4 linked regions of the Anolis sagrei genome follow. The protein of the gene in region 3 interacts with the protein of the main gene of each other region in a pairwise test. Links are inferred from orthologs where the notes say so. Each region holds a gene or a part of one and is shown on either strand. Other genes may lie near its edges. The genes, in order: PPA2, GAPDH, HTT and ZMAT2.

What was found.
Region 1: the proteins of HTT (region 3) and PPA2 interact in binary tests that used the Homo sapiens proteins (3 or more experiments, as listed by UniProt). The link is inferred for Anolis sagrei from reciprocal best matches to the Homo sapiens genes HTT and PPA2.
Region 2: the proteins of HTT (region 3) and GAPDH interact in binary tests that used the Homo sapiens proteins (3 or more experiments, as listed by UniProt). The link is inferred for Anolis sagrei from reciprocal best matches to the Homo sapiens genes HTT and GAPDH.
Region 4: the proteins of HTT (region 3) and ZMAT2 interact in binary tests that used the Homo sapiens proteins (3 or more experiments, as listed by UniProt). The link is inferred for Anolis sagrei from reciprocal best matches to the Homo sapiens genes HTT and ZMAT2.

Annotation. Positions count from the first base shown.
Region 1 is NC_090025.1:28,949,267-28,956,099, reverse strand, and holds the start of PPA2 (inorganic pyrophosphatase 2, mitochondrial), read left to right. Parts: upstream 1-3,824; 5' UTR 3,825-3,987; coding exon 3,988-4,183; intron 4,184-5,558; coding exon 5,559-5,623; intron 5,624-6,833.
Region 2 is NC_090022.1:197,266,527-197,273,919, forward strand, and holds the start of GAPDH (glyceraldehyde-3-phosphate dehydrogenase), read left to right. Parts: upstream 1-4,384; 5' UTR 4,385-4,491; intron 4,492-5,849; 5' UTR 5,850-5,872; coding exon 5,873-5,895; intron 5,896-6,357; exon of another isoform or gene 6,358-6,620; intron 6,621-7,393. UniProt on the Homo sapiens protein: Has both glyceraldehyde-3-phosphate dehydrogenase and nitrosylase activities, thereby playing a role in glycolysis and nuclear functions, respectively.
Region 3 is NC_090025.1:105,051,976-105,059,681, forward strand, and holds the start of HTT (huntingtin), read left to right. Parts: upstream 1-4,696; 5' UTR 4,697-4,866; coding exon 4,867-5,018; intron 5,019-7,706. Other genes in the region: NOP14 (nucleolar protein 14), read right to left, coding at 1,160-1,342.
Region 4 is NC_090024.1:136,398,324-136,406,154, reverse strand, and holds the start of ZMAT2 (zinc finger matrin-type protein 2), read left to right. Parts: upstream 1-4,810; 5' UTR 4,811-4,879; coding exon 4,880-4,897; intron 4,898-7,831. Other genes in the region: histidine--tRNA ligase, cytoplasmic-like, read right to left, coding at 688-807, 1,203-1,286, 1,852-1,974. UniProt on the Homo sapiens protein: Involved in pre-mRNA splicing as a component of the spliceosome.

The sequences.
Region 1 (6,833 bases), about 76 Mb from region 3:
ATCTTGTAGATTGGAAGATCGACAGTTCAAGCCTGGGTTGGGGTGACCTCCAGTCAGAACAGCTTCTGCTCACCTAGCAGTTCGAAAACAATAATGCGAGTAGATAAATAAATACTGTTTTTTTGGGGGGGGGGGTAATAAAAGAGTAATACGACCATGCTGGCGATTTGATCGGAAGAGTGTATTAAATAAAGACAAGAAAGCTCCTTAGCATGGAAGACAGCCCCCCCCCCCCCTGACAGGAGTCAAGCACAGGCTCCAGTTGCCAGAGATGGAAAAAGATGGGAAGCCTTTACCTTTGTTTATGTATTGTCTATATTTGTTGATTGTGTAATTGACATTGAATGTTTGCCTTATTAGTACACTGTAATCTGCACGGAGTCCCCTCAGGGAGATAGGGTGGACTATAAAGCATATTATTATTATTTGTAACATAAGTAAAAGGGGGGAATTTCTCATTTTAGTTTCTGTGTGTGTGTGTATACCTCCCTTGGTATTGTTTATTGGATTTCTGGATCAAACTATTTACTGATAAGCAACCAAAAACAAAAGAGAGCTAATTATCTGAGATAATTTGGAGTTACTAATGTGACAGACAGAAGGAAATGTATATTGAACTATAAAAGGGTGTATTTTGATCTGGTTTAAAATTATTCTGCATACTTTCATAAAGGTATATCCATGGAGTTCTAAAAAATCATTGGGGTGTCTCACTTTGAAATTCCAGAGGGAGCACCACATTTTTTGTCATAGAAGTAAACCCTTTCCCCTCACTTTCATTGCTAAGCTCACTTTTATTGGAGCCCCCGGTGGTGCAGTGGGTTAGAGCACTGTGCCGGCAGGGCTGAAGACCAACAGGCCACAGGTTTGAATCAGGGGAGAGTGCGGATGAGCTCCCTCTAATCAGCTACAGCTCCTCATGTGGGGACATGAAATAAGCTTCCCACAAGGATGATAAAACATCAAAACATCCGGGCGTCCCCTGGGCAACGTCCTTGCAGACGGCCAATTCTATCACACCAGAAGTGACTTGCAGTTTCTCAAATCGCTCCTGACATGACAAAAAAAAAAATGGTAAGCTAATTGAACTGTCTGCTAGGAAACAAACCTCATACTTGTGACGGTTGATAGGGTTGCTAGTTCAGGACCAGCTCAAGTCCTGGTGTGTTCAGGCCAAAACCCGAGACTTAAGGATCTTGGTGATGCTATTAAGCACCAAGCATTAAATACTAACAGCAGACACTCACAACTGCCCAAACACCACATGCTTGTGCACATATAAAAAGTGTGTTTTCCTGTTTGGATAGTTACTGGCTCACTAGAAAGAAGGTGGGCTGTAGTGTTTTGGCCCTGGGATCATCCTTCTTACTATGGTACAATATAAACAGATAGCAAGTGAGACTATGGTATTTAGGGTGCAGCAAATAAATTCTTCCAAGTTACAAACAGCGAAGACTGAGTCTGGAAGACATAACAGAAGCATAAATATTCTAAATAGCCCATTTTCTGCCTGATCTTTGAAGCTAAGGAGGGACAGCCCTAGTTAGTACTTGGATGGGAGACCAACAAATACCAGGTGTTGTAGGCTATGTTTCACAGAAGAGAACCAGCAAAACCTCTGAATATGTCTTATGTAAAAAAAAACCTATGAAATGGGTCCTCATAAATTGACAGGCAACTTGAAGGCACATAGGCACACACATATATCCAAGCAGATCAGAACTGATCTGGCATTTTGATGTCTTGAGTACAAGAAAAAACACCAAAGGAGAACTATCACTGGTGGATGGATTGCTTGAGGCAATTGCACCTGCATTTCATAGCTGAAAGGTTTGATTTAATTAAGTTATATGCCCTTAATGATCCTTAGAGGCTTTGCAGAAGAGAGAATTCAAACAAGGAGGGTCAGCAATTCCAGCAAGTAATACCGGTTTCTCCTGCTTCAGCAAAAATGGGGAATCTGAATTGATACATACACAAAAAATTAGTGTGTAATGTGTATACAGGAAGGTGACTAGATATTCAATATAAGCAGTCAAGAAAGGAACAGGACGACTTGTATGTTTTTGAGAAAGAGCCAAATGACCTCAAAAAATTAATGGTGCATTTTATTAGAAGAGCTTGCAAAAACACATTTTGGCATTATGACTTTGGGACGAAAAGAAAAGGGAAGGGAAGAAAGAAGGAAGGAGAAAGGAGAGAGGGATGGAGGGAGGAAAGAGGGAAGGAAGGAAGGACAAAAGGGTGGAAGGGAAGGAAGGAGGGAGAAAGCGAGAGGTAAGAAAGGAAGGGAAGGAGGAAGGAAAGAGAGAAGGAAGTCTAGAATGGTGAGAGAGGAGGACCTGAGAAAAGAGCCCAAGGGGCCATATCCAGCCCCCGGGCCTGGATTTGCTCATACTTGCTCTATGAGATATTAATTAAAAACTATAGCAAAATGTACTGTAGGATGTCCCACAAAAACAAAGTTTTTGCAGTTTAATAAACTTTTTTCATGGTTTTTATGATAGAACCAATTAGAAAATAACATTTATAACCCAGAAACAAAAACTGTGTTATATAGTGTATTTGTTGTAATGTTCAGTTTGTGCATCTCCTCCTTTGTTTCAGGGCTGATGAGATGCAACCTGCTTGCAGAGAACAGAATGCAAACTTCCACTTGCTAGTTTCCATCAAGTAAGCATTTAATCTGTTCTGTTCAGGTGCCATGAGCCAAATAACTACCTTCTGAGAAGAAATGGATGGGCCCCATAAAAGGAATTCTGTAGCTTGCAGTAACAGCCTAGTCCTGAACTGGTCTGACTGGTTCTTTTACCCTCCTGGCTATCTGGCCTATAACGCTGGTAAACATAAACTGATCAGACCGCACAACCTCTGAGGGTGCCTGCCATAGATGTGGGTGGAACGTTAGGAGAGAATGCTTCTGGAACATGGCCATACAGCCTGGAAAACACACAACAACCAGTGATTGTGGCCATGAATGCCTTCGACAACACATTGATCAAGCATGCTTTAGTGTGGTACCTGCCGGACTATGAAAACCCACTGAGTGACCATTTATATTTTGTTATGATGTATTTTGTTATTGTGTGTGTGTTTATTATGTTGTATTATTTTGGGCTTGGCCTCATGTTAGCTGCACCGAGTCCCCTTTGGGGAGATGGTGGCAGGTTATAAATAAAGTGTATTATTATTACTACTATTATTATTAGGGAATGACCAACCACTGCTGAACAACCATTTGATAGCCTTGCTTCAGGATCAGAATCCTAGAGTTGGAAGAGACCTCATGGGCCATCCAGTCCAACCCTCTGCCAAGAAGCAGGAAAATCACATTCAAAGCACCCCCGACAGATGGCCAGAGTTGGAAGAGACCACAAAGGCGACCCAACCAGGTAGCACAGCAATACACAATCAAAGCACTCCCAACAGATGGCCACCTGGGGTTGAATGAAGCCTGGGCCATTTGTTATGGGGCCAACTTGGGCCTTCCAGGTGTTTTGGACTCCAACTCCCAGCATTCCTAACAGCCTCAGGTCCTTTCCTTTTCCCCCTCAGCCGCTACACCTGGAAGGCCCAAGTTGGCTCATGCTTCATCTACACTGTATTATTAATGCAGTTCGACGCCACTTTCACTGCCACAGCATCCTGGGAGTTGTGATCTGGTGAGTTGCCATCACTCTTGGGCAGAGAAGGCGGAAGACCTTGCAAAACTACAACTCCCATGATTCCCTTGGCAGTGAGAGAGAGGCCAAGCTGCATGGAAGCACCCAATGCTAAGGAATACTGAGCCAAGGTCTTTCGCCTCGTCCTGCTGCATGTTTGGCTCCTCGCCCACTTTCCCCGTGTCAACAAAAGTCGAGGGCAAAGGCGCCGTCGTCGGCATGGACTAGAGGGCGGTCCGACTCCCCGGAGAAAGAGAAGGAGGAGGGGCCGCCCGCCAACGGCAGAAGGCTGCCCTGTTTCCTTCCTGCCCTCCTTCCGTGCAGCATGCGCGCCGGCTCCGCTCTGGCTCCGCTCCTGCGGCGGCTCCTGCTGCCCAGCCGCTCCTCTTACGTCAGGACGCCGGCGCGCTTCCCTCTTCCTCCGCAGCTGGGCGCCTGTCGCTGGCAAAGCGGCCTCATGGCGCACTACGGCACCGAGCAGCGCGGGAAGCTCCACGCGCCCGACTACCGACTGTACTTCAGTAAGTATAATATATAATAGTGCCTCAAACGCAGCATTGCTACAGGGCTTTCAAGGGGCGGAGCTTGGTCATAGAGAGCGTTCTAAAAGGCGGGACTTGTCGGTACGTGGCGTTCTGAAGGGCGTCCAAGGGGCGGGGCTTGCTCCTCTTCAGGACTCGATGGTACTGTACATTGTGTTCTAGGGGCGGGGCTTACTCATGCATGTCGTTCTAGGGGCGGGGCTGGCTGCTCAGAGCTTTTCTAGGGGCGGGGCTTGCTCCTCAGCGTTCTAAGGTGGGACTTGCTTCTGCAAAGCGTCCTAGGGGCGGGGCTTGCTGGTACATGGCGTTCAGGGGGCGGGGCTTGCTCCCCTTGCGTTTTGAGGTAGGACTTGCTGCTACAAAGCGTTTTAGGGGCGGGGCTTGCTCGCACTCTAAGGTGGGACTTGCTTCTGCAAAGCGTTCTAGGGGCGGGGCTTGCTGTTTAGTGGGTGAGACTCGCTTCTACAAAGCGTTCTAGGGGCGGGGCTTGCTGGTACTTGGCGTTCTAGGGGCGGGGCTTGCTCCCCTTGAGTTTTGAGGTGGAAATTTCTTCTGCAAAGCGTTCTAGGGGCGGGGCTTGCTCTAGCGTTCTAAAGTGGGACTTGCTCCTACAAAGCGTTTTAGGGGCGGGGCTTGCTCGCATTCTAAGGTGGGACTTGCTTCTGCAAAGCGTTCTAGGGCCGTGGCTTGCTGTTTAGTGACGTTCTAGGGGCGGGGCTTGCTGTTTAATGGCATTCTAGGGGCGTGGCTTGCTCCTCTGCCGTTCCAAGGTGGGACTTGCTTCTGCAAAGCGTTCTAGGGGCGGGGCTTGCTGGTACATGGCGTTCTAGGGGCGGGGCTTGCTCCTTGTTGGCGTTCTAAGGTTGGACTTGCAAACCTCTCTAAGGGGCGGGGCTTATTGGTACATGGCGTTCTAAAGGCGGGGCTTGAGGGGTGGGCAATAGGGACGTGTTGGGAGCTGACTTGCCCGACATATCTTCCTGGTTCAGAAAAAACAGGGCACAATAGTTAATTGGCAACTTCTTCGCTTGATTGCTTAGAACACACACACAGAGAATTAGAATCATAGAATCCTAGAGTTGGAAGAGACCTCATGGGCCATCCAGTCCAACCCCCTGCCAAGAAGCAGGAAAATCTCATTCAAATCACCCCTGACAGATGGCCATCCAGCCTCTGTTTAAAAGGCTTTGTGTGTGTTGTCAAATTGTATGTGTTGTCAAAATACTGAGTTGATTAGGCTGTTAGGAATTGTGGGAGTTGAAGTTTAAAACACCTGGAGGGCTGAAGTTTGCCCATGCCTGATATATAGAGTATTGTATGTCTTTGCTTACAACCTTTGTTTTTAATCTTGTAGAGAATTCAAAAGGAAAATATATCTCTCCATTCCATGACATTCCTCTCTGTGTTGGCTCAAATGAGGTAATTATTACCTATATAACATTCTTCATTTGTGGAAGTGGTCATGGGAAGATTAAACCTACTGAATGTTTTTAAAAAAACAGTTCTGTTTTTCACTTTTAGCTTTCAAGTCATAGTCTTTTGGGGGGAAATGGCTTTCATAACCTTGTTGAAAAGGAATAAAAGGAAGCCATATCCTTTTGGCAAATGTGAATCTTCGTGAGCATCTGAAGACCACCTTTAATAATTTCTGAACCTGCCAAGACCAGGAGACCTTGTTAAAAGCTAGATGTCCTGCTCAGATTCCACTTTCTAAAGCAGTGGTTCCCAAACTTTTTTTTGGCCAGGGACCACTTTGACCTGGGAACACTCTCCAACATTAGTACCAAAAGGGTTATGAATCAGTTTTTGGTGAACTAGATTCGGTTTGGTTATTTGGGGTGCTGATTCAGAAAATTGCATTGGATAAACCACATCAGCTGTAGTTTCTGGTACAGGACATATGCCATCCAGTAGTCACCATCTGCTGATGTGGTTTATCCAATGCAATTTTCTGGATCAGCATACCAAGTAAACTCAGGCCTAAAAATGAAGACACCAAGAAAAAAATATTTTTGGTTGAGCTGTGTTATTATCCATGGATTTTCTTTAAATGATCATGTTAAAAAAAAATAACGGGGTTGAAAAAAATACAAGTAGCAGAGCACAAAACCCAAGAAACTGTCTATAATGGCTTTAATAATAACAATAACAACAACTTTATTTGTATCCCGCCCCATCTCCTCGGAGGGGAGACAAGACAGCAACACTACATAGAAGAGCATCATAAAAGATACAACAAATTCCAGAACAATACAAATATACACCAAAAGAAAATAAAATTCAAAGAAAAAATGAAATACTTTAGCCAGTCCATCCTCCAGGAAATAAAGCCCAACTGCTCACTGGAGGAAATGATATTAGAGGCAACGATGAAGTACTTTGGCCACTTAATAAGAAGACAGGAAAGCTTGAAGAAAATAATGATGCTGGGGAAAATGGAAGGAAAAAGGAAGAGAGGCCGACCAAGGGCAAGATGGATGGATGGCATCCTTGAAGTGACTGACTTGACCTTGAAGGAGCTGGGGGTGGCCACGGCTGACAGGGAACTGTGGTGTGGACTGGTCCATGAAGTCACGAAGAGTCGGAGGTGACTGAACGAATGAACAACAAAATGCCTTTCGAAGGCCTC
Region 2 (7,393 bases), on a different chromosome or scaffold from region 3:
TCTCAGTCCCTATTGGGGGGAGGGGGGATGGGCCTCATAATAGGTTGGGGAAACCCAGGGGAGGCCTGCTCAATGGGCACAATGAAAAGAAACCCATCATGGAGCCAGGAAATGCCTCAAGCAGGGGGCGGGGCGGAAAGTTTGACAAAGTTGGGCTCACTGGGTGGCAAAATGGCCTTTTTATGGCTTTCTCAAACTAAGTGCACCTTTGTGCTTTTGATTGGAAATCAGTTTCAATGCAATTAGTGGCCCTTAATGTCCCAACAACCCAACTAGAACTCATACTACGAGGGTTGAATGAAAAGTAATGCCTCCACCTGCGTTACTTGGGTTTGGATGGGAATATTTTAATAAATCAAACGCAGAAATAATCCTTAGAATGTGCTCTTTAACTACCACTATTCACTGGGTTGCTGTAGGTTTTTTTCGGGCTCTATGGCCATGTTCTAGAGGCATTCTCTCCTGACGTTTTGCCTGCATCTATGGCAAGCATCCTATGCTTGCGAAATGCCTATTATGCTTGAAATTTCTCTCTGAGTGATACGACGATCGTCCTGAATCAATCTGTCAACCTTTTGCTTGGGAAACTCAGTGGTTGCTGTCACAGGACGTCCAACTCTTTGTTTGTCACTCAAGTCAGATGTTCCCACCTCAACATCTTTAAACTTATTCACCGAACGACGTACAGTACTCACATCAATACAATCACCATAAACAGCTTGCAATCTCCTTTGGGGTGATACCTATGCTGTCAATAATTCAATGACTGCACATTGACTGACCGTCTGCACAGGGTTCCATACTTCAAGAGTCCAAAAGTGGCAGGCTAAAACCCGAAACCTCAATCAGTGGCAGAAACTGAATCAGAAACTCCCCCCCCCCCCCCCGGGCATACAGTAGACTGGGCGACTTGAAAGGCACTGAGCAGGCTGTGCTCTGGCACTACGAAATGCAAAGCCAGTCTTAAGAAATGGGGCTACAAAGTGGAGTCCACAACATGCGCGTGTGGAGAAAAGCAAACATTCTACAATGCAGCCTGAGCACTGCCACATACACATTGCAGGACCTTCTTACAGCAACACCAGAGGCACTCCGAGTGGCCAGCTTCTGGTCAAAAGAAATCTAGTATGATATCAAGTTTTTAACTTTGTTTGTATTTTGTTTAATACATTATAACTGTATCCTCAATTCGCTTCTGACACAATAAATAGATAGCAGAGTTAATAGAGCAGGTCAAGAGAACTACTTCCAACCTCACCACCCCCCAAATAATTTCCACTTGTTACCCTGGCAACCGCTGACATCACTCTTGGAGGGATGGGAGGACTTCCCCTTGGTTGAGTTTTTAACAAAAGAAGGGGTTGTGGGAAAAATGCCTGGCCCTCGGCTTCTTTTGCTGATGCTGAAGGCCTCAAAGTGTAAAAGTTTCCTTCAGAAAGTGAAGTGTATTGAAATGTAGCGCCTCTGCATTATATAGCAGTGTGGACCCATTTATTATTGTTATTATGTAGGTATTTATTATTAAGTTATTATGTGTTTATTATTAGCTATATATTTATTATTGTGATTATTACATGTGTATTCTGTTAAAGGTAAAGGTTTCCCCTTGACATTAAATCTAGTTGTGTCTGAGTCTGGGGAGTGTTGCTCATCTCCATTTCTAAGCTGAAGAGTTGGTGTTGTCCATAGATGCCTCTAAGGTCATGTGGTCAGCATGACTGCATGGAGTGTCATTCCCTTCCTGCTGAAATGGTACCTATTGATTTACTCACATTTGCATATTTTCAAACTGCTAGGTTGGCAGACGCTGGGGCTAACAGCGGGAGCTCATCCCATCACTGGATTTGAACTGCTGACCTTTCAGTCATTAAGTTCAGAAGTTCAGCAGTTTGACTGGCTGTACCACCAGGGGTTCCTATGCATTGTGTTATATGTATTATAATAGTGTTGTGTTTCATCTCTCCGTTTTCATCCTGCTGTATCCACAAGGAGAGGCAGGTAACAATATTGTTATACTATGTAACAACATTTGATAAAATGTATCTTCCTGGTTTGAAAGGGTTATTTCCTGTTTAATTGTGCGGTACTTCCTTTAAAGTAGCTGTTATCCTCCAGAAACTGCCACAAACTTGAATTGGTTGAGATTTTATGAGGTATTCGTTGAAAAAACCAGGGCCCCTTCCAGAGAGCTGAATAAATTCCCACATTTTCTGCTTTGAACTGGGATATATGGCAGTGTGGACTCAGGTAACCCAGTTCAAAGTAGATATTGTAGGATTTTCTGCCTTGATATTCTGGGATATAGGGCTGTGTGGAAGGGCCCTGAGTCCACACTCAAATATTGTGGGATTTTCTGCCTGATATTCAGGGTTATAGGGCTGTGTGGAAGGGCCCTAGAGCAAAATGTGATGCAGAGTGTCCCACAAAAACAAAAGTTTTTTGGAGTTTCATAAGCTTTTTCTGTGTTCTTATGATAGAACCAAGTGAAAAATGAAATTTTTAACCCAACAAAAAAAATGTTACATATATAGGCCCTTTCCACACTGTCTTATATTGCAGGATCTGATTCCAGGTTGTCTGCTTTAAACTGGATTAGATGAGTCTCCACTGGCAGATAATCTGGGATAACAAGATAATTTGGGATCAGATCCTGGGATATAGGGGCAGTGTGGAAATGGCTGCCAATTCTCTTGAAAGCTTTGTATCAATTTGTTTTCTTTAACAAGGTCAGATACTTTATCTGATTCTGCCAAACTGAGAAGTTTTTGACAGACTCTGCTTCCCTGGAGACTACGACGTGGAGCAGTGACTTCAAACTACAGGAAAGGAGATTCCACCTGAACATTAGGAAGAACTTCCTAACAGTGAACACTTCCACACAGTCCTATATCCCAGAATAACAAGGCTAAAAATCCCAGAATAACTGCTTTGACCTGGGTTATCTGAGTTCAAACTCAGATAATGTGGGATTTTCTGCTTTGATATTATGAGATACAGGACTGTGTGGAAGGGCCCTGAGAGCACACTCAGATAATGTGGTATTTTCTGCTTTGATATTCTGGGATACAGGGTTGTGTGGAAGAGCCCTCAGAGAGCTGTTCAGCAGTGGAACTCTCTGCCTAGGGGGGTAGTGGCAGCTCTTTCTTTGGAGGTTTTTAAACAGAGGCTGGGTAGCCATCTGTCAGGGGTGCTTTGAATGCGATTTCCCTGCTTCCTTGGTAAGAGGTTGAATTGGATGGCTCCTGAGGTCTCTTCCAACTCTAGGATAATGTGATTCTATGACTCTAACTGGAGCTCCCGGTGGCGTAGTGGGTTAAACCGCTGAGTTGCTGAGCTTGTTGACCAAAAGGTCGCAGGTTCGAATCTGGAGAGCGGCGTGAGCTTTGGGTGTCAGCCCCAACTTCTGCCAGTTTACCTGTTTGAAAATATGCAAATGTGAGTAGATCAATAGGTACCACTCCAGCAGGAAGGTAACAGTGGTCCATGTAGTCATGCCGGCCACATTACCTTGCCTATGGACAACGCCGGCTCTTCGGTGAGTAGATGAATAGGTACCAGCGGGAAGGTAACGGCGCTCCATGTAGTCATACTGGCCACATGACCTTTAGAGGTGTCTATGGACAACCCTGGCTCTTCGGTGCATAGATCAATATGTACCACTCCAGCGGGAAAGTAACGGCGCTCCATGTAGTCATGCTGGCCACATGACCTTTGGAGGTGTCTATGGACAACGCGGCTCTTCAGTGAGTAGATCAATAGGTACCACTCTAGCGGGAAGGTAATGGCACTACATGTAGTCATGCTGGCCACATGACCTTTGGAGTTTTCTATGGACAACACTGGCTCTTTGGTGAGTAGATCAATAGGTACCACTCCAGCGGGAAGGTAACGGCGCTCCATGTAGTCATGCTGGCCACATGACCTTGGAGGTGTCTATGGACAATGCCGGCTATTCAGCTTAGAAATGGAGATGAGCACCAACCTCCAGAGCCAGACATGACTGGACTTAATGTCAGGGGAAAACCTTTACTATTGACTCCAACTTTGTAGACAAAGGGGTGAGCTAAGCCGAGGCGAAGGGCACCTTTCCTTCCTGAGTATCGATAGCCATGGCAATAAGGGGAGTCAGTCCACCCCCATTAGCAGCCTCGGAAAAGGGGCTCCCATGGAGGCCCCCGAAGTGGGAAGTCTGCCTTTCTATAAAGAAACAAAGGGGCGATGTGGGGCGAAAGGGGTGAGCCTGGGAGGGAAGGAGGGAGAAGGGAGGGAGGAGGGCCTTTGGGCCAGGAAAGGGGTGTGGGGTAGGGAAGGCAAGAAGGGGCGGGGAGGAGGCTGGAGCTGTGATTTGGGGCTGCGCCTTCGGGCCCTGATTCGGCAGAGCCGGGCCCCTCCTTTTCCTCAGCCAACTCTATAAAGGCCCCGACCGAGGGCCCCTTTCCTGCTTCACCTCCTCACTGCACCGCAGAGCTGAGTTCGGCCAGGATCCCAAGGGTAAGGCCAAGGGGAGAAGCAGGGAAACCAGAGGGAGGGAGGCCTGGACCCTCCTAGGGATCCCCCCAAAGCCAGGGCTCGCACAGTGATAGGGGTCGGGGTACGGCCTGAGAAGAAAGAGGGGCCCCAAAAGGAGGGCAGGCAGTGCCTAGATTGAGTCAAGAGCGCGAGGACAAAGTTGCAACAAGTTTCAGGCGCCCAGTTGGGGCTGATCGCCTTCCAGGAAGTGAGGCTTCCTTCCTTCCTTCTAGAAGGGGTGGGGTGGGTTCATTTCCCCTCTAGGAGCCTCCGAATAGGGGCGTGGCGGTGGCTGCAAAGTTTCCCCATCTAGAGAGCCCCTCTCTAACTTTAGGGAAAGTTTTATCTTTTGAGCCTCTTCCATACAGCAGAATATAGGGATATAAGGCTGTGGAAGGGCCCAAACTCTTCAAGGGCTCCCTCTCCCCAAAGGCTCTTCCACACAGCCCAATAATTCAGAATATCAAGGCAGGAAATCCCACGTTTTTTTGCTTTGAACTGGAGTATATGGCAGCGTGGACGCAGATAACCAGTTCGATGGAGATCTTATGGGATTTCCTGCCTTGATATTCTGGGATATAGGGCTGTGGGGAAGAGCCTTTGGATAGTCTGGTCCCTTCCACACAGCGCTATATCCATTAATATCAAGGCAGAAAATTCCACAAGATCTGCTTGGACCTGGGTTATCTGAGTCCACACTCAGATAATGTGAGATTTCCTGTGATATTCTGGGTTATAGGGTTATGTAGAAGAGCCTTTGGAAAGAGGAAGCCCTTGGAGAGTTTGGGCCCTTCCACACAGCCCTATATCCATTAATATCAAGGCAGAAAATCCCACAAGATCTGCTTGGAATTGGGTTATCTGAGTCCGCACTCAGATGAGATTTCCTGTGATATTCTGGGTTATAGGGCTGTGTGGAAGAGCCTTTGGGGAGAAAGAGCTCTTGTAGAGTTTGGGCTCTTTCAGACCACCCTATATCCCTGAATATCAAGGCAGAAAATACCACAAGATCTGCTTGAAACTCAGATAATATGGGATTTCCTGTGATATTCTGGGTTCTAGGGCTGTGTGGAAGAGCCTTTGGAGAGAGGGAGCCCTTGGAGGGTTTGGGCCTTTCCACACAGCCCTAATAACCCAGAATATCATGGTAGAAAATCCCATAATATTCGCTTGGAATTGGATTATCTGAGTCCACATTCAGATAATGTGGGATTTTCTGCCTTGATATTCTGGGATATAGGGCTCTGTGGAAGGGCCCTTTGTCTCAAGACTTTAGGGAAACCTCTGTCGGGAATCATCCTTGGTTTGAACCCTTTTCTTCTTTTTTCCCCCTCCTCCAGAATCACCTTTTCCAGAAAGCAAGATGGTGAAAATCGGAGTCAACGGGTGAGTGGGGAAAGGGGAAAGGCAGGCCGACGTGCGGGAGGGCAGCCTGGGCATGGCAGGCAGAAAGGGGCAGGACTTGGGATGGACAGGGGGGAAGCCCCTCCCTCTCTTAGGCCTCTTCGTCTGTCTCTGAGGGGTAGCCCTTGGAGACCTTCCCAGCCAATAGGGAAGCCTCCCTCCCTCCTGTTCTTGGCCGGCAGACAGTGCTGCCTTCTGTCCCTCACAAGGACATCTCAAGGTCACCTCTTGTGTCTCTCCCCCTCTCAAAGGGACCCTGCAGCTGTTTTCTTCCAAGAGAAGTCCCCTTCTTCTCCTTTTGCCCTGTGCAACAGCTGCCCACTTAAACAAACGGTCCACCTTTTAATCCCCATCTTCCTGGCTCCCTCCATTTCCTTTTGCCTACTTCTGGGGCAGGGAAAACACGTGGAGAAGAGCAAAAGGGCTGGTGACTCATTTACTTACTGACTTTCCGGAGCTGGGCTGCTGAGTCACAGCCGGCAGGAAGCAGCCCTAGCCGCAGGGACTTGAGAACTTTTTCTCCTTCCTTCCTTCCCCCATCCCAGAAAGCCTATGGAAAGGTCCACCCAAGAATGTGTGACCTTCTGCTTGCGATGTGCGGGAGACTCAAAGCTGTAACCAGATCAGGCTGCCACATCTCTGGTGCCTGGGAGAGAAGCTAAAGTTAGTGCCTGACCTTTCTGTGGCAGGAGCTGCGGGTGCCAAAGGGAAAGGTTCCCTGAGAGGGTGCTGCGGGAAAGGGAGGGCATGTATCTCAATGCTGCTCCCAGTAACATCGCCTGCAAACACATACACACACACACCGCAAACCACTGGCAGGAGGCATGCTTTGCATGTATGTAGCTCAAGCTTGGCGTCTCCAGGATCTCCGGTTGCAAGGCTGTGAGGCACCTTCAAAGCAACCCTGCGGGGAAGCTTTACAAGCAGATGCACTTGCTGCCAAGAGAAATGTTAACGCTGATCTAGTAGGGGAAATCCAAGCCTTCCCACATGTTGCCTTGCCCCTTAGATCTGGCAGTGGTGAGTTTCGCCTTTCAAAGGAAGGCCTTGAAAGGCCATCAAAAGCATAGTCAGATTTCACTTGTCATGCAAAGAAGCTCTTTGAATTCAGACACAAAACCATCCTCAGAAAAATAGTGCCTAGTCCACCCAAAAACTTTCAATTTCTTGCAATTGTAGGGCTCTGAAAGTGTTGCCATCCTGCAAATGTGAGGGTTTTTAACCTCTTCTCTACCTGCAGTCAGTGATGGCTGGTTTTATGTGAAAGACAGCCTTAGGGCACTTCCACACATCCCTATATCCCAGAATATCAAGGCAGAAAATTCCACAATATCTGCTTTGAACTGGATTATTTAAGGGCCCTTCCACACAGCACTGTACCCCAGAATTATCAAGGTAGAAAATTCCACAATATCTGCTTTGAACTGGATTATCTAAGGGCCCTTCCACACAGCATTGTAACTTGGGGCCCTTCCACACA
Region 3 (7,706 bases):
AAATAAAGCTTTGTTATTATTTACTAGCCGTCCCCTGCCACGCGTTGCTGTGGCCCAGTCTGGTGATCTGGAAAATAAAGTAACGGTTTCTAATCTATGTTATTCCTTTCTGCTTGTGGGTAAACAGTATTCCTTGTTGTTTCTATGTCAGTGTTGATGTGGAGATTGTCTGGTTTGCCCACTCTGGAACATGCAACCTATCATTGTCCTTCTTTAGGGGCCCCTTTCAAATCTATGATACTATATCTGTGTATTTGTGTGTGAATCATATCTATCTATCTGATCTATGGCTGGATGGCTCTTTGTCAGGAGGACTTTGATTACGTTTTCTTGCCCTGATGAAGGGAATTGGATTGGATGGCCTTAAGTATTTTCTGATGGTCATGGGGGTTCTGTGTGGGAAGTTTGGTCCAATTCTGTCATTCATGGGGTACAGAATGCTCTTTGATTGTAAGTGAACTGTGAATCCCAGTGACTACAAATCCCAAATGTCAAAGTCTATTTTCCCCAAATGCCATCTGTGTTCATATTTGGGCATATTGAGTGCTTGTGCCAAGTTTGATCCAGATCCATCATTGTTTGAGTCCACTACAACTCCCAAACTTAAGGACAATGCCCACCAAACCCTTCTAGTGTTTTCTGTTGGTCATGGGAGTTCTGTGTGCCAAGTTTGGTTCAATTCCATCATTGATGGAGTTCAGAGTGCTCTTTGATTGTAGGTGAACTATAAATCCCAGCAACTACAACTCCCAAATGACAAAATCATAATTTTTTGAGTGATGGTCATTCCTTGTGTTGTGAGACATTTTGTTGCCAAATTTGGTGTTATTTCATTCATTGGTTCTTTTGTTTTTAAGGTACTCATTATGCACAGAGCATTTATATATATATATAGATTATTTTCTGTTTATCCCAGATTATCTGGCAATAGGGATTTATATAATCCAGTTTAAATCAGAAAACCCGGGATCAGATCCTAGGATGTGGGGCCTGTCTGGAAGTGCCCCTGCTTTAAATACTGATGCGGTTTGGGGGCAATGACAGAGGTGATGAGAATTGTAGTTTGCTCACATCCTGATGCATTTTCCAATGGGACCACTCATCAAATCCAAAACTAAACCAAGGACATTCTGTTATTTATCCTTACAAATCACCTCACCTTTTTGTGGGCCCGGGAGCGCATGACCCCCGGCCGCCCCACGTCGTGCCTGGTCTTCCGGCCCAGGATCTGGAACTTCTGCTTGTTCACCTTCACCTCGAAGGGGTTGCTCTGCGCCATGGCGTCGGTCTTGGCGGAGGCAGCAGCAGCAGCAAGAGTTCCCTTACGCTTAGCTTTCCCCATGGTTGCTCGCGTGGGGACTGGGCGCTCTGCGCTTCCGGAGGCTCACACGCGTGGCTTCCGCTGGAGGCCCCGCCCACCGGCCTCCTTCAGGGATGCTGGCACTTCCCCTGCCGAGGGAGGAGAAACCGGAAGCGCGCGAAGATAGGAACTGCGGCTGCGCGGACCCCTATTGACACTATCGGTGCTTCTGAGGGCCCTTCCACACAGCCCTCTATCCCAGAATATCAAGGCAGCAAATCCCACATTATCTGAGTGTGGACTCGCATAACCCAGTTCAAAGCAGATATAATGGGATTTTCAACCTTGATATTCTGGGATAGAGGGCTGTGTGGAAGGGCCCTGGGATGGGGAAGCAGTGCAAGAGGAGCCTGAGGGCCCTTTCACACAGACCTCTATCCCAGAATATCAAGGTAGAAAATCCCACAATGTTTGTTTTGAACTGGGTTATATGAGTCCACACATGGATAACGTGGGATTTTCTGCATTGATGGGATATAGGGCTGTGTGAAAGGGCCCTCAGAAGCCATGTGTTTATTTATTACAGACTAGCTGTCCCCTGCCACGCATTGCTGTGGCCCAGTCTGGTGATCTGGAAAATAAAGTAATGAGAAAGTGTTGGTTTCTAATATAAGTAATTCCTTTATTCTTGTGAATAAACAGTATTTCTTGTTTCTTTGTCAGTGTTGATGTGGAGAGTGTCTGGTTTGCCTACTCTGGAACATGCAACATATCATAGTCCTTCTTTAAGGGTCTCTTTCAAATCTATACTATATCTGTGTGTGTGTGTGTGTGTGTGTGAGAATCATATCTATCTATCTATATTTATGACTGGATGGCTCTTTGTTAGGAGAGCTCTGATTACATTTTCTTGCCCTGGTGAAGAGAGTTGGACCGGATGGCCTTAAGTATTTTCTGTTGGTCATGGGGGTTCTGTGTGGGAAGTTTGCCCAATTTCTATCGTTTGTGGGTTTCAGAATGCTCTTTAATTGTAGTGAACTAAAAGTCCCAGTAACTACAAATCCCAAATGTCAAGGACTATTTCCTCCGAACTCCATCTGTGTTCATATTTAGGCATATGGATTTTTTGTGCCAAGTTTGGTCCAGATCCATCATTGTTTGAGTCCACAGTGCTCTCTGGATGTGGGTGAACTATAATTCCCAAACTCAAGGTCAATGTCCACCAAACCTTTCCAGTTTCTTCTGTTGGTCATGGGAGCCCTGTGTGCTAAGCTTGGCCCAATTTCATAATTGGTGGAGTTCAGAATGCTCTTTGATTGTAGGTAAACTATAAATCCCAGCAACGACAATTCCCAAATGACAAAATCAATTTTTTTGAATGGAGAACATAAATTGGACTGTTAGGTGTCTTGTGTCCAAATTTGGTGTCAATTCCCCCAGTGGTTTTTGAGTTCTGATGGTACACGAACTAACATTACATTTTTATTTATATATAAATATTTCAATGCCACCTTTCAACAGGACTGACTCAAGGTGGCTCACATCATATTTAAAACATGCATACAAATAATTAAACACTAAACAAATATTAGATGTTCAATAATCCTTAAAAACGTATGTATTATTAAACATTAAAAGTTACACTCTAAAATTCCCCGCTCAGAGGGGATCTGCTGCATTTAGGGTGTTTATAGATATCTGCAGGAAAAAAAATGAAGCTCAAGGAGAAGCTGTGGCTTGGAGTGTTTTCCTTTTTTGGGGGTGGTGGGGGTGGTTGTGTGTTTTGAAATGCATTTATTATGTGCCAACTGTATTTCATCCTAACACAGACAGTACTCTTTCATAGCTTTGGTTGTTGTTGTTCATTCGTTCAGTCATCTCCAACTCTTTGTGACCTTATGGACCAGCCCACGCCAGAGCTCCCTGTCGGCTGTCACCACCCCCAGCTCCTTCAAGGTCAAGCCAGTCACTTCAAGGATGCCATCCATCCATCTTGCCCTTGGTCGGCCCCTCTTCCTTTTGCCTTCCACTTTCCCCAGCATCATTGTCTTCTCTAGGCTTTCCTGTCTCCTCATGATGTGGCCAAAGTACTTCAACTTTGTCTCTAGTATCTTTCCCTCCAATGAGCAGTCGGGCTTTATTTCCTGGAGGATGGACTGGTTGGATCTTCTCGCAGTCCAAGGCACTTTCAGCACTTTCCTCCAGCACCACAGTTCAAAAGCATCTCTCTTCCTTCACTCAGCCTTCCCTAAGGTCCAGCTCTCACATCCGTAGGTTACTACAGGGAATACCATGGCTTTGACTAGGCGGATCTTTGTTGCCAGTGTGATGTCTCTACTCTTTACTATTTTATCGAGACTGGAAATTGCTCTCCTCCCAAGAAGTAAGCGTCTTCTGATTTCCTGGCCACAGTCTGCATCTGCAGTAATCTTTGCACCTAGAAATACAAAGTCTGTCACGGCCTCCACGTTTTCTCCCTCTATTTCCCAGTTGTCAATCATTCTTGTTGCCATAATCTTGGTTTTTTTGATGTTTAGCTGCAACCCGGCTTTTGCGCTTTCTTCTTTCACCTTGATTAGAAGGCTCCTCAGCTCCTCCTCGCTTTCGGCCATTAGAGTGGTGTCATCTGCATTTCTGAGGTTGTTAATGTTTCTTCCAGCAATTTTCACCCCAGCTTTGCATTCATCCAGCCCCGCACATCGCATGATGTGTTCTGCATACAAGTTAAAAAGGTTGGGTGAGAGGATGCAGCCTTGCCGTACGCCTTTCCCAATCTGGAACCAGTCTGGTGTTCCGTGGTCAGTTCTGACTGTTGCGACTTGGTCCTTGTACAGATTCCTCAGGAGAGAGACAAGGTGGCTTGGGATGCCCATCCCACCAAGAACTTGCCACAGTTTATTATGATCCACACAGTTAAAGGCTTTAGAATAGTCAATGAAGCAGAAGTAGATGTTTTTCTGAAACTCCCTGCCTTTCTCCATTATCCAGCGGATATTGGCAATCTGGTCTCTCCTTCCTCTGCCTTTTCTAAACCCAGCTTGAACATCTGGCAACTCTCGCTCCATGTATTGCTGGAGTCTTCCTTGCAGGATCTTGAGCATTACCTTACTGGTATGAGAAATAAGGGCCACTGTACGGAAGTTGGAGCAGTCTTTCGCAATAGTGGGATTTTCTGCCTTGATATCCTGGGATATAGGGCTGTGTGGAAGGGCCCTCAGAATATCAAGGCAGCTAATCTGTAATACCTGCTTTGAACTGGGTTATCTGAGGCCCCTTCCATACAGCTGGCCAGGAGGCGGAGCGTATCCTCCTCTACTTGGCGCTGATTGGCGTTTGGCCTGCCTTTCAAGGGGAAGCCCGGAAGTGGCGAGGGGACAAGGACACGGCGAGGGGGCGTTCCGTCGCGGTGCCGCGGGGAATGACGGGAGCTTTCCAAGATGGCGTCGGTGCGCTGGAGGCGGGCTGAGGGCGCTTGCCTGCTCTGAGTTCCGAGGCCTGCTGTGCTGCCCTGAGCGGGAAGGCGCCGGAGGAGTGGGCTTCCTTCTCGGAGCCCTCCGAGTGTAGTCATGGCCACCATGGAGAAGCTGATGAAGGCCTTCGAGTCCCTCCGCTCCTTCCAGCAGCAGCAGAGCCCTGCCGCCATTCCAGCGGGCGCCTCAGCCGCTTCCTCGGCCGGAGTGGCCGCCGCCTCCGCCGCCGAGGAGCCCCCTCAGAGACCGTGAGTCCGGGCGGGGAGAGGCCAGGCTGGGCCTGTCTCTTTGCCTGTCTTCCTGTCTGTGGGGATTCCCCCGGAGACCGGGGCATTTGTCCTGAGGGGATGGAGCCTATGGAATCCCGCCTTTCTTCCAAAGATGGGACTCGAGGAAGCTTATGACAGAAAGCGACCTCGATCTAAAATCATGGGTAGCAAAAGCAGCCACACTCTCTTTCAGTCCCATGTTTGGATTAGCCTTGTGAATTGAATTCTTTCGATTCTTGTATTGTCGAAGGCTTTCAAGGCCGGAATCACTGAGGTCTCACTACCTCTGAGGATGCTTGCCATAGATGCAGGCGAAACGTCAGGAGAGAATGCCTCTAGACCATGGCCATACAGCCCGAAAAAACCTACAATAACCCACTTTCGATTCCTGCCGTGCAGGATCAGCCCACCAAAACCCCCTCAGCAAGTGCTTCCTTGTAACGGTTTTTTTTAAAAAAATTATTTATTAATTATAATTATAGTAATTATATAAATTAATTAATATATTCCCCCATTTGGGGATTCAAAGATTACTGCAACGCACTCTACATGGGGCTGCCTTTGAAGACAGTTCGGAAACTGCAGTTAGTCCAACGGGCGGCAGCCAGATTCCTAACAGGAGCTACATACAGGGAGCATACCACCCCCTTGTTGTGTCAGCTCCACTGGCTGCTTGTCCAATTCTGAGCTCAATTCAAAGTGCTGGTTTTTACCTATAAAGCTCTATACCAGTGGTTCTCAACCTGGAGTCCCCAGATGTTTTTGGCCTTCAACTCCCAGAAATCCTAACAGCTGGTAAACTGGCTGGGATTTCTGGGAGATGTAGGCCAAAAACATCTGGGGACCCCAGGTTGAGAACCACTGCTCTATACGATTCCGGCCCAGCTTACTTGTCCGAACACATCTGCCTCTACGTCCCACCTCATAACTTAAGATCATCCGGGGAGGCCCTGCTCTCGCTCCTGCCAACATCGCAAACGCGGCTGGCGGGGATGAGAGACTGGGCCTTCTCAGCTGTAGCCGCCCGCCTGTGGAACACGCTTCCAAATGAAATACAATCGACCCCATCCCTCCTGGTGTTCAGGAAGAAATTAAAATCTTGGTTTTGGGACCAGGCTGTCGGACAATAAACATAAAGCAGCACTTTGACTGGAAATGGATTGGCAAGACGATACGTATGACGATACGGTTTTATGGCTCTATCAGTGGGTTTGTGGACTGAGTATTTTTTTTTCATGACTTATGATAATTTGGTTATAATTAACTGCTATTGTTTTAACTCTGTATGTATTTATGGTTTTATACTGTGTTATTGATTGTGGCATCGAATTGCTGCCCTTGTTAGCTGCTCTGAGTCCCCCCTCGGGGGTTGAGAAGGGCGGGGTAAAAATGCTGAAAAATAAATAAAGTGGCCAACAACTAGGTATAAAACATACAAAGTACATTGGGATAATAAAAATAAACAGATTTTTTAAAAAAATGACAACTGAAACATAATAAAGCAGTTACACCATAACAGAATATGTTACAGATTAAAATACATTCAGCACTTTAGGTATAGTTAAAACTAAATACAGTGTTCCCTCACTTATTGCGGGAGTTACATTCCAGGACCTCCCGCAATAAGTGAAAAACCGCGATGTAGGGACACTATATTTATTTTAATATTTATACATTATTTTAGTAGTTATACACTATTTTACGTCTTTATAAACTTAAAATAAAGGAAAGGAAAGGAAGGAAAGGCCCTTCAAGGCTGGAGGGAGGGAGTACTGAGGAGGAAAAGTGTTTTGGAGGCCGCGGCAGCAAAACTTGCGAAACAGCGAAAATACCACAATATATATTTTAAATTAATATTTTTTGAAAACCGCAAAACAGCGCATCCGCTGAAAGCGAACCACGAAGTAGTGAGGGAACACTGTAAACATAAACCAAAGTAATTATCTGTTCTAATACCACTTGTCCATAAAGGTATTGCAGGAAAAAGATTCAGCTCAAATGCTACTATGGCGCCTATCACTCTTGTATTATTCTTCCTTGAAGGCCTGATTCCAGAGAAAAGTTTTTATCTGGCACCTGAAAGTTAGTGAAGGGGAGACCATTCTGATGTCTTTCGGGAGTTCCAGGGCCGTGCAGCAACTACCGAAAAGGCCCTGTCTTGTTCCCACCAACTGTATTTGCGAAGGTGGTGGGATTGGGAGAAGGACTTCTGTTGATCTCAGAGCTCATGCAGCTTCATAGAAGGAGATGCAGTCTTTTAAGTTGACTGGGCTTTAAAGCTTCTTTAAATTAAAGTGCTGTCATTGACTTCAGTCCTGCCCAGAAAGTACAGTGTGGCCATTGAAAGACCGAGGCCCCTTCCACACAGCTGCATGAAATCCAAATTGAACTGGACTTGGACAATCCAGTTCAAAGCAGATACTGTGGATTCTCTGCCTTGATATTCTGTGTTTTATGGCTGTGTGGAAGGGCTGTGAGTGATATAAAATAAAAATAATTTCTACAAACACATCTGTTTTTTTTAAAAACATAATTAGTGGATCTACAAAGGATACTCTATAACCTACCCAAAAAAAGAAAGAAAAAACAAAAAAACTATAACTTTTTCAATCTCTTCAGTCTTTCAGGCCTCTTCCACACAACTGTATAAAATCCCACATTATCTGC
Region 4 (7,831 bases), on a different chromosome or scaffold from region 3:
CCATTGCTACACACTATTGTGGCCCAAGTACCTGATCTAGGGAGGAAACCTAAGGGGCAATGTGAGTAATAGGAGCATAAAGGGTTGAACTTTCATGGCCTGGCTGGAGAAGGGATCTATCCAACAGACATTTACTTCAGCTTGCTGATATGCTGTATTATATTGTGTTTTTAATGTACTATTTATTAATTGGTATGACTTTTTGTGTCTATTATATCTATTTAGTTCAATCCCTGCTATATTGAGTTTATTTTTATGTTTTTGCTTTGACTGTCGATTTGGTTTTTGGCATTGAATGTTTGCCATTATGGGTTATATATAAAGATTATTATTATTATTCCTTTAACAATGATTTTGGTAGATAAGATGCAATATAAATCCATGATATAGGTTTAATGTAAAAAGACGTGCACTTCTCATGAAGACAACCATGCCTCATTTCCCAATCCTAATACACTTAACTGGAACCAAATAGCATTAATATCAATGGAGTCAAAACAACAGGCATTTACTTCGGTTTCACTCCTGGACACAGTTAAGTTGCTATGGTTCTGTTGAAATCAATAAAACTAAAACAGCCTTTGTGTAGAATTTCAGCCTTTAGCAGAAAAAGACTCTAGAAATGTGAAGCTCTTGTCAGACAAAAAGGCCACTAGCACTTCCAAAATAATACTGATCCATCCTCACCTTCCGCTCGAACACAGGGGTGTCTATCGTCACAGCTCCATGGCGCTTGAAGCAGCTGATAATGGTGGCAAAGATATTTTCACGGATGGCCATCTGCTTTGGACTGAAATCCCTGGTGCCCTGAAAGTCCACACCGAAGAAAAGATGGGGGTTTAGAAGAGATGTTTCTTTAAAAAAAGAAACGCTTGATGAAAACTACACAGCTGAAATAGTAACAGCAGCCAACAGCTGAAGGGCTTCCAGATGCTTCAATTGTTTAATACTAAGCATTTGATTCTGTGCCAAAAAATCTTCTAACGAGAATCAAGTACTGCTAAAAATAATAGAAAATGATTGGAAGAGAGGGGAAAATTGAAAAAGCAGTAGATTAAGCTAATGGGGTAAAGGGGCTGAGTGCTCTATAAGATCATCTGGAAGGATGATGGTACGGCTTGTTCCGTTAAAGGAAGTACCAGAGTTAAGCAGTGCTCGAAGGGGACTCTGGAAGAGGAAGCAGAACACAGATGGGCTATTACCTTGGGGGTTTTGAGAATTATGTTTCCTCTTCCTCCAGCATCTCTCAGCTGTGGCGATGGTTGATTTACCACATCTTCAGTCACCTGAGAGCAAAGCAAATCTGATAAAAAGGATGCCATGGCACTTTAAAGACCAACACATGTATTATAACATGGACATGCGAGTTCTTTCTGACTTCAGTGTCTACTGTGCTATCCTCAAACATGTGTACTAAATCTACTCGAAATTCTGGGTAAGACAGTATGCCTTTGATAAAGTGGGCTATAATTCCTTAATGATTAGGCTGTAATATATCTGTTAGGCTTTGATGCAGCACAGGATCATTTGTTGTTTTTGTTGCAACAGACAAATGTAATACTACATTGGAAATATGAATAACTCTTTTTTATGTTCGTTTTACAGATTTCAATTAATATAAGACAGCTGACATATCAGTGCAAAATGGTAAGGACAGATTAAGATCTCAAGAAGTCCTAAATTCTTAACATTCTAAAGGTGGCAATGTTCCAGCCCATTCCCAACCCCGCAGAAGCTTGAATAGCAGGTTAATTTGGCTTTTATTTGTAAATTTCCAAAATGCTGCTAGGAAGAAACTTCTAAACTCAAAGCTACAAGAGTTGTAGAAGAATTGTGGTAAACGAGATGCACCTTGTTCGGTAGATGGCTGGAAAGTGTCCTTTGAACCCAAAACTGCGTTGGCATAAGCTGTCTCCTATACAGAGCCTTTGTGAAAAAGCTTATCCAATACATGTCGAGGAGTTTCAACAGCATCTGCCAGCAATGTTTCCTATACTGGGCATATCAAATCTTCAGAGCAGCACAGGAGAGGAAGCCTTTGCATTCTGATCAGTGAAAGATGCATCTGTGATGTATCCAGCATGAAGAACAGAGAGAAAAAGCAAGACATAAAATCCAACAATGAGAAAACTATTTTGCAAAGTCACACAGACTAATGGCGGAGATCCTCCCATACAGCTGAATAAAATCTCACATTTTCTGCTTTGAACTGGAATACATGGCAATGTGGTTCAGATAACCCAGTTCAAAGCAGATATTGTGAAATAATCTGCCTTGATATTTTGGGTTATATGGCTGTGTGAAAAAAAATGGTTTGTTGTGGAAACAAGGATTGGTTGGAAGGCTTCATTGGATACCCCTTTTCTCCATGGTAACTCTTCTAGGAGTGAATTTCCCTTCCTGGCGGTAGATTTCTTTCACTTCCTGTTGTCTCACCTCCCCCCTCCCCGTTCTTAACAATGAGTCGTTAACGATGAGTCGGCACAAACTTTAAGATCTTCCGAGGAGGCCCTCCTTTCGCTCCAAGCACGGTTGGTTGGGACGAGAGGGCCTTCTCGGTGGTGGCCCCCACCTGTGGAATGCCCTTCCTGGAGAAATAAGACAGGCTCAATCTCTCCCCTCCTTTTGTAAGAGCCTGAAGACTTGGTGGTTTAAACAAACCTTTGAGAATAACTAGTTCTAGCTATAACCCAGATACTGTTGAAATTGGCCATATCTTTTTCTTCCAATTACCCAGGTCACTTTCTTCTATTAGGCCCTGGAAATGTATGACCATAGACTCTACCTAATTTCCTGGGCCCTCTAAAATTGCACTGGCCCGGCCTTTTAAACTTCCTTGAACAGGCAGGATTATTTTAAATATATGTGCTATTGTGGTTTTTAATGCTTATATTGTCTTGTTAATGTTATGTTTATGCTGTTTTATTTGTATGGATTGATTATGTTACTTGGAAACCGCTCTGAGTCCCCTTGGGGAGATAGAATCATAGAGTTGGAAGAGGCCTCATGGCCCATCCAGTCCAACCCCCTGCCAAGAAGCAGGAATATTGCATTCAAAGCACCCCTGACAAATGACCATCCAGCCTCTGTTTAAAGGCTTCCAAAGAAGGAGCCTCCACCACACTCCAGGGCAGAGAGTTCCATTGCTGAACAGCTCTCAGAGTCAGGAAGTTCTTTCTCATGTTCAGATGGAATCTCCTTTCTTGTAGTTTGAAGCCATTGTTTCGCATCCTAGTTTCCAGGGAAGCAGAAAACAAGCTTGCTCCCTCCTCCCTGTGACTTCCTCTCACATATTTGTACATGGCTATCATATCTCCTCTCAGCCTTCTCTTCTTCAGGCTAAACATGCCCAGCTCCTTAAGCTGCTCCTCATAGGGCTTGTTCTCCAGACCCTTGATCATTTTAGTCGCCCTGGACATATTCCAGCTTGTCAATATCTCTCTTGAATTGTGGTGCCCAGAATTGGACACAATATTCCAGGTGTGGTCTAACCAAGGTGGAATAGAGGGGTAGCATTACTTCCTTAGATCTAGACACTATGCTCCTATTGATGCAGGCCAAAATCCCATTGGCCCTTTTTTTTGTCGTCACAGCACATTGTTGGCTCATGTTTAACTTGTTGTCAATGAGAACTCCAAGCTCTTTTTCACACATACTGCTCTCGAGCGAGGCATTGTCCCCCATTCTGTATGTTTGCCTTTCGTTTTTCCTGCCAAAGTGGAGTATCTTGCATTTGTCACTGTTGAACTTCATTTTGTTAGTTTTGGCCCATCTCTCTAATCTGTCAAGATCGTTTTGACTCCTGCTCCTGTCCTCTGGAGTATTGGCTATACCTCCCAATTTGGTGTCGTCTGCAAACTTGATGATCCTGCCTTCTAACCCTTCATCTAAGTCATTAATAAAGATGGTGAACAGGACCAGGCCCAGGACGGAAATCTGTGGCACTCCGCTCGTCACTTCTTTCCAGGATGAAGAGGAAGCATTAGTGCGCACCCTCTGGGTTCGTCTATTTAACCAATTACAGATCCACCTCACCGTAGTTTTGACAAGCCCACATTGGACTAGTTTGTTTGCCAGAAGGTCGTGGGGGACCTTGTCGAAGGCCTTACTGAAATCCAGGTACTGAAATCCACGGCATTCACTGCATCTACCCAGCTTGTAACTCTATCGAAGAAAGAGATCAGATTAGTCTGGCATGACTTGTTTTTGATAAATCCATGTTGACTATTAGCGATGACTGCATTTGTTTCAAAGTGTTTGCAAACCACTTCCTTAACATTTTTTTCCAGAATCTTGCCTGGTATCGACGTGAGGCTGACCGGGTGGTAATTCTTTGGGTCATCCTTTTTTCCCTTCTTGAAGATTGGGACCACATTGGTGCTGGAACTTCTCCCATTCTCCAAGAAGATAATCCATAATATCTGCTTTGAACTGGAATATATGGCAGTGTGGACTCAGATAACCCACTTCAAAGCAAATACTGTGGGATTTTCTGCCTTGATATTCTGGGCTGTGTAGAAGGGCACCTGCCACTAGGCCTCCAGGACCTTTTGCTGCACAGACAGACTTGGGAGTTGGAGCCAGAAGCAAGGCTGTGCTTTCACTTGAAAGAGAAACACGTGAAGGCTAAAAGCTTGAAGGGTTTCTGTCTGCCTCACCCTCGAGGCAAAGCTATAAGCTTCCTTTCTGAGGCACAAACACGCTCTAAGACACGTCCTTTCCTTACCTCTCCTGAGCGAAAAGGCTTCCCAGGAAGCATAGAGAAAGCTGCAGCTTGGGTGAGGACGCTCTGGCTAGAAAGGACCAACCGGAAGTACGCTTTACGGCAGGCCCCAGTTTGCGCGACGTTTTCCGGCTTCCGGGACGCTTCACAGGCAAGATGGCGTCCGGCAGTGGGGTAAGTGGTGGACTTGATTTAGAAGGCAAGGAAGGCCTTTTCTGCCCGGTTTTCTGTCCCGAGGAGCTGTAATGGCCCTCAGGGAGAGCAGGGCGGCGGGCCTTCCGGTGTGGCTCCGCTTTTAGGCCCCCAACGGGTGCGGGAAAGGGCTCCTGGCTTCTGGGACGCCGCCGAGAGAAAGGCCCGGCTCCTCAGCGGCTTTGTATTGCACTTCTTGACTTGAGATAAGCGCTTTAAAGCCCGCACTTGACACTCCTAACACATTCTAGGGAAGGCATCTTCCGACTACGGCCTTCCCGCTGTTTGAGTCTCAATTCCCAGATGCCCTAGCCATCTTGATCAGTAGCGAGGAATTCTGGGAGTTGGAGGCCCAGAAAATGGGAGGATGTGTGTTCTAAATACTGCCTTGAATCGCCGATAGGCTGAGAAAGGCGGTATACAAGTATAGTAAAAGAAATATCTATATAAATAACAATGTAATGTTCAGGTTCTTGTGGGTTTTTTCGGGCTATATGGCCATGTTCTAGAGGCATTTTCTCCTGACGTTTCTCCTGCATCTATGGCAAGCATCCTCAGAGGTAGTGAGATCTGTTGGAGTTAGGAAAATGGGTTTATATATCTGTGGAATGACTTGGGTGAGGCAAAGAGCTCTTCTCTGCTGGAGCTAGGTGTGAATGTTTCAACTGACCGCCTTCATTAGCATTTGAAGGCCTGGCTGAGCCTTGGGGAATCTTTTGTTGAGAGGTGTTAAGATGTGCCTGGTTGTTTTCTCTCTGCTGTTTTGCTGTTGTAATTTTAGAGTTTTTTTAATACTGGTAGCCAGATTTTGTTCATTTTCATGGTCTCCTCCTTTCTGTTGAAATTGTCCACATGCTTGTGGATTTCAATGGCTTCTCTGTGTAGTCTGACATGGTGGTTGTGAGAGTGGTCCAGCATTTCTGTGTTCTCAAATAATATGCTGTGTCCAGGCTGGTTTATCAGGTGCTCTGGTGTGGCTGACTTCTCTGGCTAAAGTAGTCTGCAGTGCCTTTCATGTTCCTTGATTTGTGTTTGGGCGCTGTGTTTGGTGGTCCCTATGTAGACTTGTCTACAGCTGCATGGTATACGGTAGACTCCTGCAGAGGTGAGAGGATCCCTCTTGTCTCACCTCACTACCTCTGAGGATGCTTGCCATAGATGCAGGCGAAACGTCAGGAGAAAATGCCTCTAGAACATGGCCATATAGCCCAAACCCCCCCCCCCCCACAAGAACCTAGTGATTCCATCCATGAAAGCCTTTGACAATACAATGTAATGTTTGTTTGTGGGATTAACAGAACTCAGAAACCATTGGACGAATTGACACCAACTTTGGACACAATACACCTAACAACCCAATGTATGTCCTTCACTCATAAAAACACTGAAAAACACAGCAGAAGGGACTTAAAAAGCCCCAAAAAGCTAAATGACGAAAAGCTAAAGACAATACAGAAAAAAGGGAAGAAAGAGGGAGGGAAGGGGAGAAAAAAGGGAAAGAAAGAAGGAAAGGGAGAAAGAAGCATGGAAGCAAAGAGAGAAGGAAGGAAGGAAAGAGGTAGAGAAGGAAGAAAGGAAAGAAAGAGGGAGGGAAAGAAAGGGGGGGAGGAAGGAAAGTTAGAGAAGGAAATAAAAAAGGGAAAGAAGGAAGGAAAGAGGGAGCAAAGGAAGCGGGGAAGATATAGAGAAAGAGGGAGTGAAGGAAAGAGAGAAGGAAGAAAAGAGAGACAGCAGAAGAGAAAGGAAAAGGGGGAAGGAAGAAAAGAGATAGAGAAGGAAGGAAGAAGAGAAGGAAAGACGGGAAGGAAGGAGGAAAGAGAGGGAAGGAAGGAAGGAAAGAGGGAGTGAAGGAAGGAGGGAAAGAAGGAGAGAAAGAGGGAAGGTTGGCCACAGCAAAGCGTGGTGGGTACAGCTAGTAGTAAATAAAGAAATAGCCTTGATACTCTTGTTCAAATCTGTAAAATATTTTTTTTAAATACAAGTCCTATAAAGCTGTATTTGCATCAGAATCTTCTGAAGTTGTGGACTGAGGTTCCTTCCACATTGAACTGGATTATATGGCAGTGTGGACTCAGATAATTCAGTTAAAAGCAGATATTGTGGATTATCTGCCTTGATATTCCGGGTTATATGGCTGTGTTGATGGGCCCTGAGGGAGAATGAGATGTTTTTAATAACATTGTATTTGATACAGCTCAAAACAGAAACCTGTATCCTCCTGAACTATTATTATCCAGGATTCGGAAATCTGAGATACACCGAAATTTGGAATCATTAGTGCAGGGACAATAATCTGGTTCTTAAAATCAATAAAACGAAGGAGCTCATAGTAGACTACAGAAAGAACAGACCAGAAATTTAGCCCTTCGTCATAAATGGGGACCAAATGGAATGGGTGGCCAGTTTTAAGTTCCTGGGTATCCCTGTTAAGGAGGATCTGAGCTAGGACACCCATACAGCAGCGCTGGTTAAGAGTGCCCAGGAGAGACTGTACTACCTGAGATGTCTAAGGAACCAACAACTGAATGAAAAACTGTGGATGACTTTCTACCACTGCCCTAACCTACTATATCTGCGCATGACTTGATAACTGCACAGTGACAGATAGGAAGGCACGCCAAAGGGTCACCACTACTGCATAGAGAATCATTGGTTGCCCTCTTTGGAAGAACTTCATAAGTTCTGCAGCGTCAAGAAAACTCAGAACATTTATGAATGCAAAGACAAGAATAGAGGTTGTTTTTTTTAGATATTTGTTTCGCAGAGTGGGACCAGAGGTTATGGGGGAATGGCATACCTGTATTATATGCATTTTATTCTCTTTTGCTATTTTCTTTTACATTCTGTATGCCATTAATACAATAATTGTGGGGCACGAAAACGGCATCATTGATGAAAAGACTGCACCTGAGACTT